Diceros bicornis minor: one gene and its partner. The protein of the gene in region 1 purifies or fractionates together with the protein of each later gene. This does not show direct contact. Links are inferred from orthologs where the notes say so. Each region holds a gene or a part of one and is shown on either strand. Other genes may lie near its edges.

Region 1 (9,362 bases):
AAACCCTGGCTCTGCCATATAACGTGGCTGCTCACCACGTTAACTGCCCTCTGTGCCTTGGCTCCTGCATCTAAAACTAAGAAGAACAAGAGTTCCTCCCTCTGAGGGTGGTGTGAAGGTTGGATTAATGGACCCGGGTGACTTGGAGCAATCTCTGGAACAAAACAAGACTCAACAACTGTGAGCCATCACCACCTCCAGACTGGGTCCTCTTCAAGCTTCAAGCTTGAGAAGCTCAGACTCTATTGAAGACAGACAAGCCAGGGACTATGATATCGTGTGACATCTGCAAAAGATGTTCACCCAGTGCAAGCTGTCCCAGGAAGGGGAGCAGGGGCTGGGTGATGGTGCCTAAATGTCACGCACAAAAAACCTGCACAGTCAACAACTTCCCACAAGGTGTCACCATGTAGGGCCTAAGTATTTGGAGGCACAGGCTAAGAAACAACTTCTCGCTTCTTCTGGAAGCCTCCCCCTGGCTTCACTATTTTGACTCTTGCTCATCTAGGCATAAAAGTTCACCCACTCCACCTTCAGGGGTGATGACTACAGGCACAGCCAGCTTGCTGTTAGGGGAAGGGGAGAGAGGCAAGTGACCAGTGACTGTCACTCATGCATCTTGTCACCAGCAGGACAGTCACTAATTTCCTTTTGAGCCCAGCACTCCTACTTGCAGGGAGATGGGAAATCCCTGATAGCACCATGGCTGACCTGACCCACAAGCAAAACCCTATTCTTTACAAAAGGAAAAAAGCCATCCAATTTTACACACACAATACTTTCTTCAGGAGTTATGATTCAAGTCCCCCCAACCTATTAGTTTTAAAAACCAAAAGGAAATCACAATCCTCTCTCCACTGTACTCATTCCTCAATCTTCAAATCAGGGGAGTCACATGTACCCCTGGCACCACCTCACGCTCACTAGGCGCTGTCCTCACTCAGGTAAGGAGAGGACCCTCGCCTCCATCTCACTCACTTTCCGATCACCCATTGCAGACGAAAGCAGAAAGACGGTCCAAAGTGCAGGGTTACAGTGGAACTCTTCAAAGCAGAGCCTAAAGCAGAACAAAACCTTCAAGAACAAAACACCTCACAAACCACAAACCTAAACAAGTCAATTTTCTATACCTTAGGTTTTACAGCCCAGCTATCAGTGTACAATAACCTCCCTTAAATTACTCATCTCCTATTTATCTCTTATCCACCTTTCTTCATCAAGGTTGAGTTTGGGCACAGCCAGCTTCTTTATTCTCATTGCTTAACAATCAGTAGTTGCTAACAATTACGCTCTCCTTCTTTATCACCGACTTTTACGGTAATAATACAATCCAAATGAACACTCTCACAACTACTCGACAAAAGGATGACGAGTTATGAATATGCTAGCCCCAACGGGTTACTAACGCCAAAGCATAAGTGGATTAAGACAGAAAGCTCTGAATACATACAGCAATCAAAAAACATAGGAGTAATTACTACAAAGCAATCTTACAGAAAAGATAACTCGAAACACCAAACTTTTAGATGTATTCAAAACTTTACTTGAAGAAAGGGTTTAAAACCGCAAAAAGTCCCAGTTAGTTTAATTCTGAGAACAGAATATTTCTGTCAAGATTTTTTTTAAGGAAGAATACTGTTTTCAAAGTTTAACATCACTTAAAATACACCATTTTAGTTAGAGATAAGTTTTAATTCATTCAGCTTGTCAACAAAAGCCATAAAAAGGGAAAGAAACCAGAAATTAAGACAGGCATTAAGCCGTTCCACCTCCCTACCCCTAAACAAACAGGTTTTGCTTTACTCCCAATAGAAATTTTGAGTGTCACCCATGTGCCACATGCAAAATGAAAAAAAAAAAGTAGTATATCTTAAATGAATATAAAAGAAACAGAATCAATACACTATTTAGTTTATATAAAATCACCCAGTTTCAATCTCAAACCATATACATCTTTACAAATTCCTTACAGCACAGTTTTACTTGCTTAATAATCCGGGTACTGTTTGTCCGATGGGGCCAAGGGCCTCCAGACTGTCATACTGCCAGGGAGAGGTGCAGGGTGGAGAAGGAGGGAGCAAAAGGTCATGGGAGGGGCCAAGGTGGAGGAAAAGTGGCAAGACAGCTGACTAGAGGCTGTTAGCTACTTGGGGCAAGGAAGGGGCACTTCGTGGAAAGACAACTCGTTTTCAAGAGAATGTTAAAGGTTCGCAGCGCTCACTTAAATGGCTGAACAATAAAAAGTCACTCTAAAGCTCTAATGAAACCTCTGAGTTGCTAAGAATCAGCTTTGCATTCGGCTGTGAACACGGGAAAGAGAGGTGGTTTACACTTTAAGATGGCATGTAGCTTTGTGGGAAACTGCGGCAGGAGACAGTCCCCAGCTTCCGGCCCAACACCCTACAACTATGCGCCTTGGCTAGTTCAAGGCTATGATTAAGGAAAAGACCAACCAACTTCAAGTAATACGATAAGGTTAAAGGTAAAATCTGCAGTCTGAACTTTAAAATACATCACTGGAGAGGGAGAAGGAATCGCTAACAAACTTCAAGAATTTTAGTACCTTAGAAAGCGACCTTAAGGATCAAGCGGTCCAACCTCCTTTTTAAAGATGAAGAAACTGAGGCAAAACAGCGTGCCCAAGAGTACACAGGTGATTACAGAAAGCTTGGGTCTAGAAGTGAGGCCTCCCGACCTAGTCCAGGACCACTGCCCACTCCACTCTTGCTTTTCTGCAGTTATCCCAATTTTATGTTTCTCGAGTCCCCAATTTCTGCAATTATTTCCGCAGTTCCACCAAATGCAGGAAGCAGCCACTTGCAATGTGAAGAACCCAGAACCCACTCGGAAGACCGAGATCCCTGCAGCCTCCGTGACCTTGGGCTCCTTACATAACCCCTGCGGGCCTGTCTCCTGTCTATGGACTGGACCCCGGTGCACACGCTCACAGCGCGGTGCGCAGGACACGCGCCCCGACACAGCTCCACCGGGCGGGAGGGGCCCCGGGACCGGGGTCCCAGGAGGGCCGGGCCGGGAAGAGCACGTGGGGTCGGCCCGGGGCGAGGAAGCCCGCCCGCCCTGAGCCCAGGTGCGCCACCTCACCTTCGGCCACGTCCTCGTCGATGGCCCCCTTGACCTGCGAGAAGCACCACTGCAAGTCGTTGCCGCCCGCGGGGCAGCCGCCGCCCCCGGCCCCTGCGAACACACCCGGCGTCAGCACCCGCGCCCCTCGCTCCTGCCCCGCGCCCCCTGCTCCTGCCCCACGCCCCCCGCTCCTGCCCCCGGCGCCCCGCTCCTACACCCCGCGCCCCCCGCTCCTGCCCCCCGCCCCCCCCCCGCTGCTGCCCCACTCCTGCCCCCAGCTCCTGCTCCGGCGCCCCCCACTCCTGCACCCCGCGCCCCCCACTCCTTCCCCGGCTCCCCCAGCTCCTGCCCCGGCGCACCCCGCTCCTGCACCCCACTCCTGCCCCGGAGCCCCCCGCTCCTGCACCCCGCGCCCCCCGCTCCTGCACCCCACTCCTGCCCCGGCGCCCCCCGCTCCTGCCCCCCGCGCCCCCCTGCTGCTGCCCCACTCCTGCCCCCAGGTCCTGCTCCAGCGCCCCCCACTCCCCCGGCGCCCCCAGCTCCTGCCCCGGCGCCCCCCGCGCCCCACCTCCTGCCCCCCGCACCCCCTCGTTCCTGCACCCCGCGCCCCCCGCTTCTGCCCGGTGCCCTCGGCCCACCCCGCGCGGCCCTCTCACCTGCCATGGCCGGCGGCCAGCGGGCGGGCGCCGAGACGGCGGCGGAGGGAAGAGGCGGCCTCCGCGCTGTTGCCGTCCGAGCACCTCAGCCCGGCCGCCGCCGGCGCCGCCGCCGCCGCCAGGGAGGGATTTTTCCCTTTTCAAAATGGCGCCCAATGGCCGTCGCCCCGCTCGATGACGTCATCCCCCTCCGCCTCCGCCGCGGGCCGCGGGCGGGGCGGGGCCGCCGGGAGAGCTCCCCTGCGCCCTGCGGGGCGGGACGGGGCGCGCGGCCGCGGGGGCTGCCGGGGGCGCGCCACGCACCGACTGCGCCTGCGCGAGCCGCGCCCCGCCCCCTGACCCGGGCTTGGCACCGCCCCGGCCCGGCGCTACCCTGAAGACCAGCCCCGGGGCCGCCGTCGGCCGCCCGCCTTGCTCCGGGGGAGTTACCGGAAGCCTGGAGGCGGCCCCGCCCCTCCCCGCGGAGCAGCCAATGGGGACGCGCTCGACGTCGGCGGGCGGAGCGTCCGGGCCGGCCCCGCACCTGCAGCGCGCCGCACCTGAGCGCGTCCTCCCGGCCCACCCCCTGGCCGGGCTGCCAGTCCCTCTCCTCGGACGCGAGTCCGGGGGCGTCGGCGTCCGCCTTCGCTGGCGGCCCTGCGCAGAGCTCGCGTTGTCTACAACACTGCCGTACGATCTTAGGCAAACGTTCGCTGTTGCGGCTCCCCGTGGCCATCGTCGCTTCATTCGTGGGCGTGTGTCCGTGGCGTACGGGGGGTATCCGTACCCCCCGTTTGTGTGTCCTTTCGGTGACGTGAGCTTGCAGTCACCGGCGTGACTGCTGGCGTACCCCCCAGCAGACGGCCGTCCGAGCCAGGGCCAGTCGGCGCCGCGAGCGCCGTGGGCGGATCCGCTGCTGCCTCGGGCGCGCGTCCCGTCCCGTCCAGGGGGCGGCGGCGACGGCAGAGAGCCGGCCCTCGGGGAGCCCGCTCTCTAGGGGACAGACGACAGCGGGGCAGACGGCACGTGTGAGTCAGCCGGCGCTGGAGGGACACGCAGCGGGGGGCCGCGGAAGTAAACGGGTGACGGACAGACCGTAGGAGGCCGGGCCCGGCCGCGACGTCCGGGGAGGGCTGTGCGGGGAGCGGAGGGGTCGTGGCTGACCTGCGCCCTAAGGCGCCGCTGGGGCTGCTCTGCTGAGAACAGGCCGAGGCACCCGAGGGTCACACCGGGGAGCCCAGGGAGGAGGTCAGCCGGTCATGGAGGCGGGGATGCGGGCCGAGTGGTCGAGGGCGTGGCGTCGGGGGAGAGGGCTGGGAAGCGCTCAGGTTTCAGCGAGAAGGCTGTGGACGGCACAGCGCTGGGACTCACGGATGAAGCAGGTGCCGCGTGAGACGCAGACGGACCTAGGATGACTGCCCTCGGGGTCGGAGCGCGGGTGGGAAGGGGCTTTCCCGGCCCCGAGACGGAGGTGCCGAGAAGGGACCCCGGGAGGCGGGTCTGAACTGCGGAGCCGGCCCGGGCCGTGGCACAGACGAGCCTGGGGCGCGCGGGGACGCGGGGCCTGGAGGGCGAGTCCGGGAGGCGAGCGCGTCGGGGAGCTCTGCGAGCCGGAGAGACCGCGCGAGCCCCCGCCGCGCGGGCGGGCGGATGGGCCCGAGGACGGGGCGACCGCGACGCGTGGAGTGCCAGCCCGGTGCAGACGGGGAGGGCGGGCCGGCCCCCAGACGCCGGGCTGAGCGCCGAGGACGGACCCCTGGGCTGTAGCGTTGGGACGCCATCCCTGACCTGGACGGGAGGGGCCGCTGTGGACTGGACGCTGCAAACCCGTGTGAGGGGTTTAAGAGCAAGTGAGAGAAGAATGGGAGCCACTGAGTGACGACCCTTTGTTGTGAAGAGGAGCAGAGAAATGGGGCTGTAATCTCCTTTTTTCACATGTGGATTTAGGCAGTCTGCCCCTGAGCAGTTGAAAAACTGAGTTAACTATCAGACTGTCTCATATACAATTGCTTTAATGTGTATTAAAGATAAGTCTTTTGAAGTGACGGCAAGATAATTAGTTTTGGTTTAAACTGTATTCTTTGGTTAATTAGCTACCATTAAATTAAATTTAAAAACAACAAAAGTAATATAGTGAGTGAAAATAGTGAGCTGCCTTCCTGTGTCCCACTGTGCATCAGCTGACCAGCAGGAGATTTTTATTTATTTATTTTTTAAATGTTTTATTTATTTATTTTTTTTGTGAGGAAGATCAGCCCTGAGCTAACATCCATGCTAATCCTCCTCTTTTTGCTGAGGAAGACCTGCTCTGAGCTAACATCTATTGCCAATCCTCTTCCTTTTTTTTTCCCCAAAGCCCCAGTAGATAGTTGTATGTCATAGCTGCACATCCTTCTGTATGTGGGACGCGGTCTCAGCATGGCCAGAGAAGCGGTGGGTCGGTGTGCGCCCGGGATCGGAACCTGGGCCGCCAGTAGCGGAGGGCGCACACTTAACAGCTAAGCCACCAGGCCGGCCCCAGCAGGAGATTTTTAACTATTCCTTTTTATGATGCTAAAGAACTTTAAATAGCTCAGTGAGTTACTCTGAATTCTAACTGGTGTTTACAAGTCCCTGGGTGTTGCAAGGCAATTTTCTTGTTTTATTATTTTTAGATCTCATAGCCAAATTGTGAAATGCCTGGTGTGTATTAGAATCTAGAATCCAGCCTGTATTAGAATCTACAGCCTCCCTGTATTCGTACAAGGGAATACTACTCAGTAATAAAAAGGAATGAACAACTCATACAAACAACAGGGATGACTCAAATTTTAAAGGATGAACCTGCATTGACACATCATCCCCCGAAGTCTATAGTTTACAGTAGGGTTCACTCTTGGTGGTGTACATTCTGTGGGTTTGGACAAATGTATAATGACGTGTCCATCAATATAGTATCATACAGAGTATTTTCACTGCCCTAGAAATCCTCTATGCTCTTTCTCTTCACCCCTCCCACTCATCCCTGGCAACCACTGATCTTTTTACTGTCTCCATAGTTTTACCTTTTCCAGAACGTCTTAGAGTTGGCTTTTTTTTCACTTAGTAATTTAAGGTTCCTCCATGTCTTTTCATGGCTTGGTAGCTCATTTCTTTTAACTGTTGAATAATATTCCATTGTCTGGATGTACCACAGATTATTTATCCGTTCACTTACTGAAAGATGTCTTGGTTGCTTCCAAGTTTTGGTAATTATGAATAAATCTGCTGTAAACATCCCTGACTCTTTATAACCTGCCTCCTTACTGCTGGAGCTCAACAAGGCATTAAACTCATCCCATCTTTTTTTTTTACTCCTGCCAAAAAGGATTGGATCCATGAATTTTTCTCCAAATGATGAAGGAAAGGAAGGAAGGAGAAAAACAAATGAGGGAAAGAAGAAGAGAGGGGAGGAAGGAAGGAGGAAGAAGGAAGGAAGGAGAGGCTATGGCCAGACTGGTTGTGCTTTGCTGAATTGAAAAGGAAGCCCCGCCGGATGCTGCTCCTGTCTCCTGGGCCTCTCTTCTCTGACCCTGCCACATTGGGCTGTCCCCCTCCCTTCTCCCAACCCCCCTTCCTCAAAAAAAAATCTTTCCATGCTGAACTCAGCAAGGTAGAGGGAACATCAGGGTTTCAGGAACAGCAGGGCCATCTCGTGCTGGCTTCCCACCTCCAGAACCGTGAGATAATAGACAGGTGTTGTTTTAAGCCATTAAGTTTGTGGTAATTTGTTAAGGCAGCAAAAGAAAACTAAATGTGTGCGTGTGAAATAAACAGACTCGTAGCTACTCATTCCTCTTGCTGTTCTCTGCTGTCTGTGGGTCTAGGATTTAGTTCAGTCGTTGATTCACGTGGACACATTGAAGCTGTAGCCATGTGCAAGCAGTCGATCACTAACCATGTCTGTATTTGTTGGGCATAGGTGTGGGTCACCTCCCGAGGGCCCAGCAGGAACAAGCATGGAGGGATCGGTCTGTGCTCTCAGCTGTACCATGGATGCTGTCCGAGAGTCTGGAACAGCCCTGAGCACTTCACGTGTATCGTTTAAGGCTCACAGAACCCTACGACCTAAGGATTATTATCCCGTTTTTTGGATGAGGGAGCTGAGGCTAAGAGAGATTAAGTCGCTTGCCCAGGCATCACAATCACTCGGCATCGACTACAGTTTAAGCTCAGGTCTGACCTCAAGGAGGGGCCCAGATACCATAAAACGTGAAACAACGTGGTGGATGATGCCCAGGCCCCAATGATGTGGGCAAACCAAAGGGAGAACCCCAGAGCTTCCTCTGCCCAAACTGCGTCTGCCTCGCCAGAATCACGCCGTCCTGCAGTGGCCTGTGTGAACTGACCTGGCTCGTAACCCGCTCTCAGGCTGGGTCTGTGCGTGGGGATGGGAGGGGGACGGGGCAAGCATCCAGCTGCTTCTGGCTGATTCAGTTGCTTTGCCACAGGAAACACTCGAGGTGAACCTGTGCCACAGTGGAGAAATTGTTCCTGGTTTTACTGTCCAGAGAGTCGTCCGTCCTGGGCCTTTTGCAGGTTGGCTAGGGGACGGCTTCATGCCAGTGTCTTCATCATTCCATCCCCTCAGCTCCCTTTCAAGGGTTCCGATGTTACCTCTCCAAACACATGGCTGCCTGTAGCCCATTCTCTCCTCCCATGCTCCCATCACCCCCTTGGCCCTCCTTGGAGTCTCCCCTTCTTCCTGGCTGCAGCCTCTCACCTGCCCACCAAACCCTTCCACCCTCTGGCTTCCAAGCCTCCCTCACAGCCCCGCCCACTGGCAGGAATCCAACTCTTCAGATTCGGTGTTTCCTTCCTCTGTTAGAAAAGCAATAGCAGGCTCCCCGGCAGCGTGCCCTTGAAGCTCCCCACCTGGAGGCAGAGACAGGTGGGCGTCCGAGGTCTTCTCACCTGCAGCCAGATGGTGTTGTCTGTGAGGTGCTGAGCCTGCGCCTCCTTCCTCCCCCTGGAGCCTCTCCCACTGGGGGGGGCCTCCTTTTCCCCGAGGGGCAGCCCTCCGTGTAGACCTGGGGACAAAATCTCAAAGTCTTGTTTGTTCAGTTCAGGACGAAAAGCTGAAGCACAGGTGTGAGACGGGAATGTGAGAGACCGCTTGCTGAGTCCGCCCACCCTCCTGTGTCTGTGCTGGGAGAGAAAGGGCCATTGAGGGGCAGCTAGGGTGGGGCACAGTCAGGAGGGGCCCTGCACAGTCCCTCAGCCTGCCCTGAGGGGTCGGGGACACTGCGGCACCCGTGGTCTGCTGATGGTGGCCCCCGAGCATGTCCATGTCCTAATCCCCGAGACCAGTGATTGTGTGACCTCATTCGGCAAAGAGACTGTGCAGACGTGACTCGGAAGGATCTGGAGGTGGGGAGGTCCACTCTGTTATCTGGGTGGGCCCAACGTCATCAGGGAGGAAGGCAGGAGGAGAGGGTGGAGTGATGTGGCCACGAGCTAAGGAATTCCGGGGGGCCCCAAGGAGCTGAGAGGGCGGGGGGTGGGTGCTCCGGAGCCTCCAGAGGGACCAGCTCTGCCGACACGTTGATTTTAGCCCCAAAAGACTGATTTTAGACTTCTGACCTGCAGAACTTGTAAGAGGACACGTTTGTGTTTTTTAAGCCA
Region 2 (8,544 bases), on another chromosome or scaffold:
ACCAGATACAGAATCTGCTGGCACCTTGCTCTTGGAATTCCCAGCCTCCAGAACTGTGAGAAATAAATTTCTGTTGTTTATAAGCCAGCCAGTCTACGGCATTTTTGTTATGGCAACCCTAATGAACTAAGATACCAGTTGCAAGTGGGGATCCCAAATCAGAGTAGCTCCAAAAGCTTTAATAAAAAAGTTCAAAATCACTGTTTTTGGCATCGTCTACTGGCATCTATCAAGGAACAATAAAACCAGGATTTCAGGCCTTACCCAAGAGAAAGTGTTGGTGTTCCGAAGAGGGAATAGATTCTAGAGACTAACCCTAGATTGAATCCTGGTTCTGCCACATACTAGTAGCGTAATCTTGAATCTCCAAGTCTGAATTTCCTTATTTATAAATTCAGGGAAATACCTACCTTGCCTGGTTATGGGCAGATTAAATAAAATAACATACATAAAACTACTACTACAATACCTGGCACATTGTACTTACTGAGGAAAAAAACGGTAATTGCTATTATTACATTATCCAGCAATACTCTGGAACTACTAAGTTCAATTTGAAAAACTAAATTATGGAAACTCAAGAAAAATCATGAACTCAAAACCACCCTGAATATGCAAACACATCTAAATAAGGTTTAGTGAAATTGAAGGCAAGAGATTATGAAAAATAGCTGAAAGAGTAAGTCATATAATACACTGTCAAAGGAACAGGCCCATCTTGAGTAACACACAGATGTGGGAGTGGAAAAAGATGGGAAGATAAGAAAAAAGGCAAGTGAGAAGGAGAAAGAAAGAAGGATGCTTTGCAATTGGTGGAAGTGAGAGTTCATAAATCAGGACTGACTGAGGAAAAAGAAAGACTGAACTCTATAGTATTTGCAAAGGAAAAAGATAAACAACTTAAAGTAAGTATTGCCAGGATAACAACTACGAATCTAAAAAACACAATGGGTCCCAGAGGCAAGAGATCCAAGTCCTAGTCCTCAGTGGCCCCACCACTAAGCTTCTAGGGTGTCTTAGTATGAGGAAGATTTGAGTTTCAGTTTTCTCAGTTATCAAGAGGAAATACTGTCCCCTGCCTCTTAGAGAATTCTGTATTCTGCAAGGTAAACTGAGTCTCAGTTTCCTTAACTATACAGTCAAGTAGTGAGATGAGATCATTTCAAAGCTCTCTTCTAGTTTTATGATTCTAGAGGGGACAGAGTCTATATTATTACTAACCTTAGAATTAGATGAGGCCTGCTTACGTTTCCATAAGGAAGAAGAAAAGGAAAATAAGCCACTTGAGGACCACATAAAATTCACCAACATATGCTCTTCTCTTCACAATACTATAAAGAAGCATCTTTCTAAAGAACTTTATTTTTCAGGATAAGCAGTTAACCTAAATTAAGAAGACCAAAGCATCTATTTAAGGAGGATAAGTTACTAACAAGTATACAATCTTCTAATCAGAAGATTTTCCCTTTATTTTCTCTTAGCATTTTTCCTCAGTTCTTCATCTTCAGAGAACTTGTTTTGACAAAGTGAGAAGCTGAGTTCTAAACTTATGTAAAGCATGTGTAGATATTAAAAAGCTAATAGTTTATATATTTTTACAAAAGAGTGCTGGTATACTTAAAGATCAAATTTTAGTTTAAGAAAGGCAGCAACTAAGATAAATATCAACAATAACTGTTACATTAATTTTATACTCCAGGTTAATTTTCCCAAATAATCTGTTATGGATCAGTTTCCAGATCCACCTTATTCATGTTAACACTCCTACCTTTCTGTCTTCCAAAGCCAAAACAATCTTCATTTTACCTTATATGCAGCCTTCTACCACCTCTTTCTATTGTGCATCCATCAACCTATCTTCTGTCAAAGTTTTCCCATTTTTCTACTGAGTATCATAGTTAGGTCCCCACTTTGATTCTTAGTTTTTTTCCCTGGTTTTTCCAATCATTCTCACCACCCCTCAACCCCATGGTTTTAATTTATAGGACTCTCCTTTCTCTTCATTCCTAAGACCTACTTTTACAGTACTGCATTTCCTATCCTCATCTCTTTTTTGATCAGTTTTTGTACATATTACTTCTTCAGAACCTAAGGTTTCTCTTCTCTAGTTCTTATTCCAAGAATATCTACCAACCTATCTCTAGAATCCCAAACACACACTCTTGACTACCTCATACCTAAGTATTCTTCCTACCCCTTTTCTCTTTACAATCACTAGTTTCCAGAATCCTGTCTGATACCACAAATACCACCCAAAACCAACTGCCAATTCAGTTCTCTGTGCTTTCCAGCAATCCCTCTCCCATTTTCAACTCATTATACTCTCTCTCCCACACCTAAATAAACCCTAACCTGGCACAAGCCATTCAACAACCTAAAATTCCAAAAGCCTCTCTCTTCAACACAGCCCCTCCCTTCCCAGTAAAGTTTCCCCCAAAACATTTTAAGTGGCTACTCTCAATACTTCATTAATTCTGAGTCTTACCTGAGTCTTATCAAACCCAGTACACAGCTTCCATCAGACCTATTTGCCCAGCAAAAGTCAACTGCCCAAATCTTCCTCTCTAAGCTTCCCAGACGTTACCTCTCTGCAGCACTCCCACTCACTAAACCCTATTCCTACTCACTTCTCAATTTCCAGAGCCCATGGCCACTCTCTAAGCTACTCAGCCCTCTCCCTCGTGACTCCCCTTATGTCCTACCCTCACTTTTCAGCACATTCCTATTATCCTTAATGGTCTTCTTGGCTATGTTCTCCATCTTTCCTTAGGCCTGTTTCCCAAGCTTTTCTCTCCTAAAAGACCTAATCTCCTAGTCACCCCCTCACTCCCTGAATCTGCCTCTTACACCTCTAGGAACTCGCTCTAGAACCTTCTGCTCCTAGCTCTCTTTCCTTCTCCAACCCTGCCTCAGGTGTTCTCTATTTCCCTCAGCTTTTCTAATATCTAGTTCTCAGTCTTACTCCTTCCAAATCTTTTCCTAGTAGTTCCCCTAAGTCCCCTCAACTCTTCTCAGTCATTCCCCATTTCCCTCAACCCTCCCTGGCAGATTCCCACCACCTTTGTCACCGCTCTGCTCCCCTTCCTCCACCCTCCTCCACACCTCCTTCTGGAGGTGCCTCCTACCTCTCTTAAATTACCCTCTCAGCTTCCTCAATCTTTGCCTCATTCCCTTCTCACTTAATACTATTTGTCCTCCAGTTTCCATTGACTTGGCGCCTCCCCTAGTCCCCAAATCTGCCTTCTACTCCATCCAAACGTCTCAGGCCGCCCCTAACATTCTCTCCTAGCCGCAGCCTCCCTTGCCTGCCGTTCTCAACGCCCAGAGACACCATTCTCCAATGGCCGGGGCCTGGCCGCCAGGGGGAAGGGGTACGAGTCACGTACCCCATTCGCATCTTGGCTCCGCTCTGACTGCCCCCGCTGCCGGGTAGAGGAGGGCGAGAGGGCAGGCGGCCGAGGTGCATGCTCTTCTCGAGGGCCGACATGAAGGGGAGGCCGCAGGTAGTTAAAACAGTAGTCGAAGCTTCGTCCCACGCTAAGTGCGGCCCAACCGGTCACAGCTCTCTCCCCTAAGCGACGCCCTGTCGCCTTTGGACAGCACCCAGCTACCGGCAGCACCGCCCACCGCCCACCGGCTCCGTAAGCCCCACCCCCTCCCCCCCTGCGCTTCCACCGGAAGTGCGCAACAGCCCTCCACAAAGGGAGCTGGGTAACGGAGTCTGAGGACACCTCAGACCCCCAGCGGAGAACGCGACGATCCTCCCCCGAGAGAGAAACGCTCCTGAAGACAATGCACCCTGGGCAATGGAGTTCTCATCGGGCGTATCCCTTTGCGCTTGCGCGAGTGGAGGCGACAGCGTCCAACCTCGCAGAGGTAGTAGAGCAAAGCATCCTGGGTGTTGTAGTCTGTTGCCGGGAAAGAGTCTTGGCGCCTTCCCTTTTCCCCGGTTCTCAGAGACTGTTAAAGGAAGAGCCGCTTCTTCCTGCCTCCCAGGCTGCCCAGCGGCGCCGGTTGCCGGGGAACGCGGGCGCCGTGGGAAACGATGGCGGGAGGCTACGGGTTAGGTGCTGGGGCAGGAGTTGAGCTGGTGAAGAAGAGCTCGGGCTCGTCATGAAACAACGAAAAGGCCAAGGGCCTGGGGGCGGCCGTGGCCGCAAGAAGAGAGGTAACCTGAGAGACCAAATGTTGAGGAAAGGTTAACAGGGTTGAGTTAGGGGAGCAGGGTGTAAGGAATTCGAGGGAGACCCCCACACCCGCCTCTAAGAAAAAAAGAAAAAAGACGGAGAAGAGAGAATAACCAGGAAGGAGAAGGTTAAAAGAGAGGGCAGTTGGCCCTCCAGCAAATGGAAAGGAAGTAGGTAGGGGCTGAAGTGGGGGCCAAAGTGGGCGAATAAATGTGGCTAGGTGAGGGCTAAAAGGATACATGTAGGACATTTCTCGAGGAAGGGCACAAAAAAATTCTAGGAATGTTTTTTTTTTGAGATATAATTGACATAGCATTATGTTCTTTTCAGGTGTACAACATAATGATTGGGTATTTTTATATATTGCAAAATGGTCACGACAGTAGCTCTAGGTAGCATCCATCACCATACGGGGTTACAAAAAAAATTTTTTTTCTTGTGATGAGAACTTTTAAGGTCTGCTCTTTTAGCAGCTTTCAAATACACAGTACACTGTTATTAACTATAGTCACTGTGCTGTACATTACATTCCCATGATTCAGGAGTGTTTTTGATAACAGTTAAATGTGTGTGTGTGTGTGTTGGGGGGAGGATATAGCTTTGGAGGTCCACATGGGAATGGAAGAAACATTAGTTGGAGAGGCAAATATGTCAGTAATCCTAATAGGCAAGGATCACGTTTTATACATTACTGAATCCCCAAGAACTAGCACAAAGCAGGACTCGGTAAATGTTATTTGAATGAGTGAAGCCTGAGACAGTCATGCAGCATGAAAGGCTATAGGCGGGAGTTGGGAAAGATAGTTGTGGAGGAGAGAGGAAGAAAGGGTGGGGTGGAGGTGAAGGCATGAGGATCTCTGGAGGATTGAGATGAAAGCATGTGTAGCAAGAGGACTTTTATCAGGTTAGAAATCTCAAGGAGAAACAAGCTCACCAAGGGAGTAGGGAAATGTTAGCTGCAGCAAGAACAGTCACCCCAGGAACCCAGGGCAGATCGGGAAACTGGAAATTGAACCTCTACAGAGCTGCCTCAAAAAAAAAAAAAAAACATTGGGCAACTCTGCCTTTTTACATTATAGGCAAAGGGGCGTTAGGAATAATAATAGTACATTAGGCCCTTAGGTTGAGGACTGAAGCTACAGTCTGGGAATGAATCTTATCCAAGCTGTTTAAAGATAACTAAGGCAGTTTTGAGGCAGCGTCTTTCCTGCCAGAATGATGGGAGGATATGAGACAGAAGCATGGAAGTGTTCAATACTGGTGCTCCCTGTGTCAAACCGGTCAAGAATATTTGGTTGATAGGAGGAAAATCAAAATAGAAATAACATAAGAATGTCCTTCTTGCTATACCACATGCATATGCAGTAATGTTCATATACACACCTTTATATAATTTTTATATTGAAACTAGTTATCCATAAAGATTATGATGGGTCTTTTCACCACTGTAAAGAGCAGAGGAATCCATAGAATTAGTTATATACATTCCTGATCTGATAGACTCCAGTTATTTTCTTCTTGTGTGCCATGACCACTCCCCAAGGGAGAAGTTAGAGGCATAGAAAGGTGTGTGTAACAGGAATGGTTTCTTAAATCTCCTCTAAATCATGGTTAGAAGATACTGTGATTGGAAGACAATCAGGGTCATTAATGGAAAGTTTTATAGAAAGTCATGATTAGTTGCCTCATGTAGATTTTATGATCTGTTTGAAATCCAATAAATATTATAAAAGCCGATAAATATTGTTAACTGAGAACTGTGCTAGAAAATAGTGGTAGAATCTGAAGAGGATAGTCTCTATCCCCATTGACTGTATGTTGTTGGCAGGAAAGAAAAGACATAGCCAATTTAAGGTGGACGTTGCTGAAATGCTGAGTTGTGTGGTATAGACTGAATCATTTGCGAGTCGAGTAAAGGGAGTTGTTGCTGTTTTATATTTAATGATGTTTTTAAAGTAAGAGAGTTAGGTAAAGATAACATAACCGTGGACATTGCAATAATCAAAACAACAGTACTTAGAAGAAAAATTTCAACTACTTTTGAGATTTTAGAGACCTATCTACTGTATTATTATATTTGTATTTTTCTTTTTTTTTTTTTATAATTTTATTTATTTCTTTCTTTTTCCCCAAAGCCCCAGTAGATAGTTGTATGTCGTAGTTGCACATCCTTCTAGTTGCTGTATGTGGGACACGGCCTCAGCATGGCCGGAGAAGCGGTGCATCGGTGCACGCCTGGGATCCGAACCCAGGCCGCCAGCAGCGGAGCACGTGCACTTAACCGCTAAGCCACGGGGCCGGCCCTATATTTGTATTTTTCAAATGGTGTCTTTCAATTAAAGAGGTGTTCATATTAGCATGTCTTAAATTGGTGTGTTCTTTACTTACAATAACCTGAATCAAACCATAAATACTAATTAGTTATCAGAGTGGCTTCAGTGACCATATAGGTTATTCTTTGGTCTGGTTTGCTAGTTACTTCTCCTGTATTAGAATAGGTAGGATAAACCTTCTTTCTGTAGAGACTAAAATGTTTTTGTGTGTTTTCATTCAAAAAGCAGGTTATATGTTTTCTGTATGTAGTCTGCATTTTGACTTAGTGTTCTTGGATTCCTCCACAGGTTTGAGTGACATTTCTCCATCTACAAGCCTACCACCTCTGGTCGAAGGCCAGCTACGCTGCTTTCTGAAACTTACTGTTAGTAAAGTCATCTGGAAGATTGCAAAGCCTCCCACTTGTGTACTTGTCCGAGTGAGATGGTGGGGAGAAACATCAGATGGAACCCTCTTTTCTCCCAGAGATACATTGCAGACTGAACCAAAAGCTGTGAGAACAACTACACGTTATGCTATTCGCTGTGGTCCAAAGCAGTTTACCTCCTATCTGACAGGTATATTTTTGTCTTATCATTTCACCTGCAGGCCTAATAAGCACGTGATTATGTTGTTAGCAGTAGGTGTTATCGTGTATCTAGTATCTATGGCATTGTTTTTTTTTTTTAATTAATTTATTTTTCCCCCAAAGCCCCAGTAGATAGTTGTATGTCATAGTTGCACATCCTTCTAGTTGCTGTATGTGGGACACGGCCTCAGCATGGCCAGAGAAGCAGTGCCTCGGTGCGCACCCGGGATTCAACCCCGGGCCGCCAGCAGCAGAGCGCGAGCACTTAACCGCTAAGCCACGGGGCCGGCCCTGGCATTGTTAATTGTTGAGGAGTCAAAGAGGTTTTATAATAGCCACTATTTATTGAGAGTATACTATATGCTAGCAGTTGATACATATTATTTCTAATCCTTAACGACTGCAAGATAGGTATTTTCTCTGTTTTATAGATAATGAAACTGAGGTTCAGAGAGATGAAATGAATATTCTCTAAGGTTACATAGTTGATAAATGGCAAAACTAGGATTTGAACCCAGTTCTGTCTGACGCCAAAACTCGTGCACTTCTCAGCGTGCCATGCTTTAAGTAATAACTGCAGTCTCTGCTCTGGGTCTTACTTTCCTTATGCTCAAAGAAAGAAGATATAGATATAAAATTTACTAATAGTACAAGATAATACATGCTAAATGCCAAATGAGTGGTTTAGTAAGTGAGTAATACAGGTTTTCAGAGAAAGGAAGGGTCCCTCTACAGGGATTTACAGGATCCACGTGTGCTGGACGTTGTGCTAGGCACCGTGGGGCTTACAAAAATGAATTTAAAAATTTAACCAGAATGGTATCTAATTCTAACTAAGTTCACAGAGAAGTTTAGTTACAATACTAGGTAGAAAGTGATAAGTGCTATTAAAGGATACCCATAGGTACTCTGGGTACTGTACACATAAAACTTAAATCCACTGGTGGTATTCTGATATAATTTAACAAATGAAGAGTGATTAGAAATTCTTCAGTAAGAGAGAAGATGTCTATTAATATGATAATCAACAGGTCAGACATTTATTTGTGAATCCTCTGGGATAATACAGAATGCATTAGACTTGGCATATGATGTTTAGGTTGGTGTTACTACCTTTGGGATTTTGGGAAAGTCCCTTCCCATTTTTGACCCCCATTTTCCTCATCTATAAAATGGGATCGAGGGCCAGCCCAGTGGTGCAAGCGGTTAAGTGTGTGCGCTCTGCTGCGGCGGCCCGGGGTTTGCCGGTTCGGATCCAGGGCACGCACCAACACACTGCTTGTCAAGCCATGCTGTGGCGGCGTCCCATATAAACTGGAGGAAGATAGGCGTGGGTGTTAGCCCAGGGCCAATCTTCCTCAGCAAAAAGAGGAGGATTGGCAGATGTTAGCTCAGGGCCGAGCCTCCTCAACAGAAAAAAAAAAAAAAAACCGGGATCAAACAGCTGCCCTTTCA

Evidence for each region.
Region 2: the proteins of PPP2R2D (region 1) and PPME1 purify together in Homo sapiens (affinity purification with mass spectrometry; 4 studies listed by BioGRID and IntAct, counting the BioPlex papers as one, with this or other methods). This does not show direct contact. The link is inferred for Diceros bicornis minor from reciprocal best matches to the Homo sapiens genes PPP2R2D and PPME1.

The regions. Positions count from the first base shown.
Region 1 is NC_080745.1:93,945,092-93,954,453, reverse strand, and holds the start of PPP2R2D (serine/threonine-protein phosphatase 2A 55 kDa regulatory subunit B delta isoform), read right to left. Parts: upstream 3,830-9,362; 5' UTR 3,748-3,829; coding exon 3,741-3,747; intron 3,196-3,740; coding exon 3,103-3,195; intron 1-3,102. UniProt on the Homo sapiens protein: Substrate-recognition subunit of protein phosphatase 2A (PP2A) that plays a key role in cell cycle by controlling mitosis entry and exit. Involved in chromosome clustering during late mitosis by mediating dephosphorylation of MKI67.
Region 2 is NC_080746.1:56,784,378-56,792,921, forward strand, and holds the start of PPME1 (protein phosphatase methylesterase 1), read right to left. Parts: upstream 3,597-8,544; 5' UTR 3,488-3,596; coding exon 3,387-3,487; intron 1-3,386. Other genes in the region: C2CD3 (C2 domain-containing protein 3), read left to right, coding at 3,807-3,876, 6,809-7,078. UniProt on the Homo sapiens protein: Demethylates proteins that have been reversibly carboxymethylated. Demethylates PPP2CB (in vitro) and PPP2CA. Binding to PPP2CA displaces the manganese ion and inactivates the enzyme.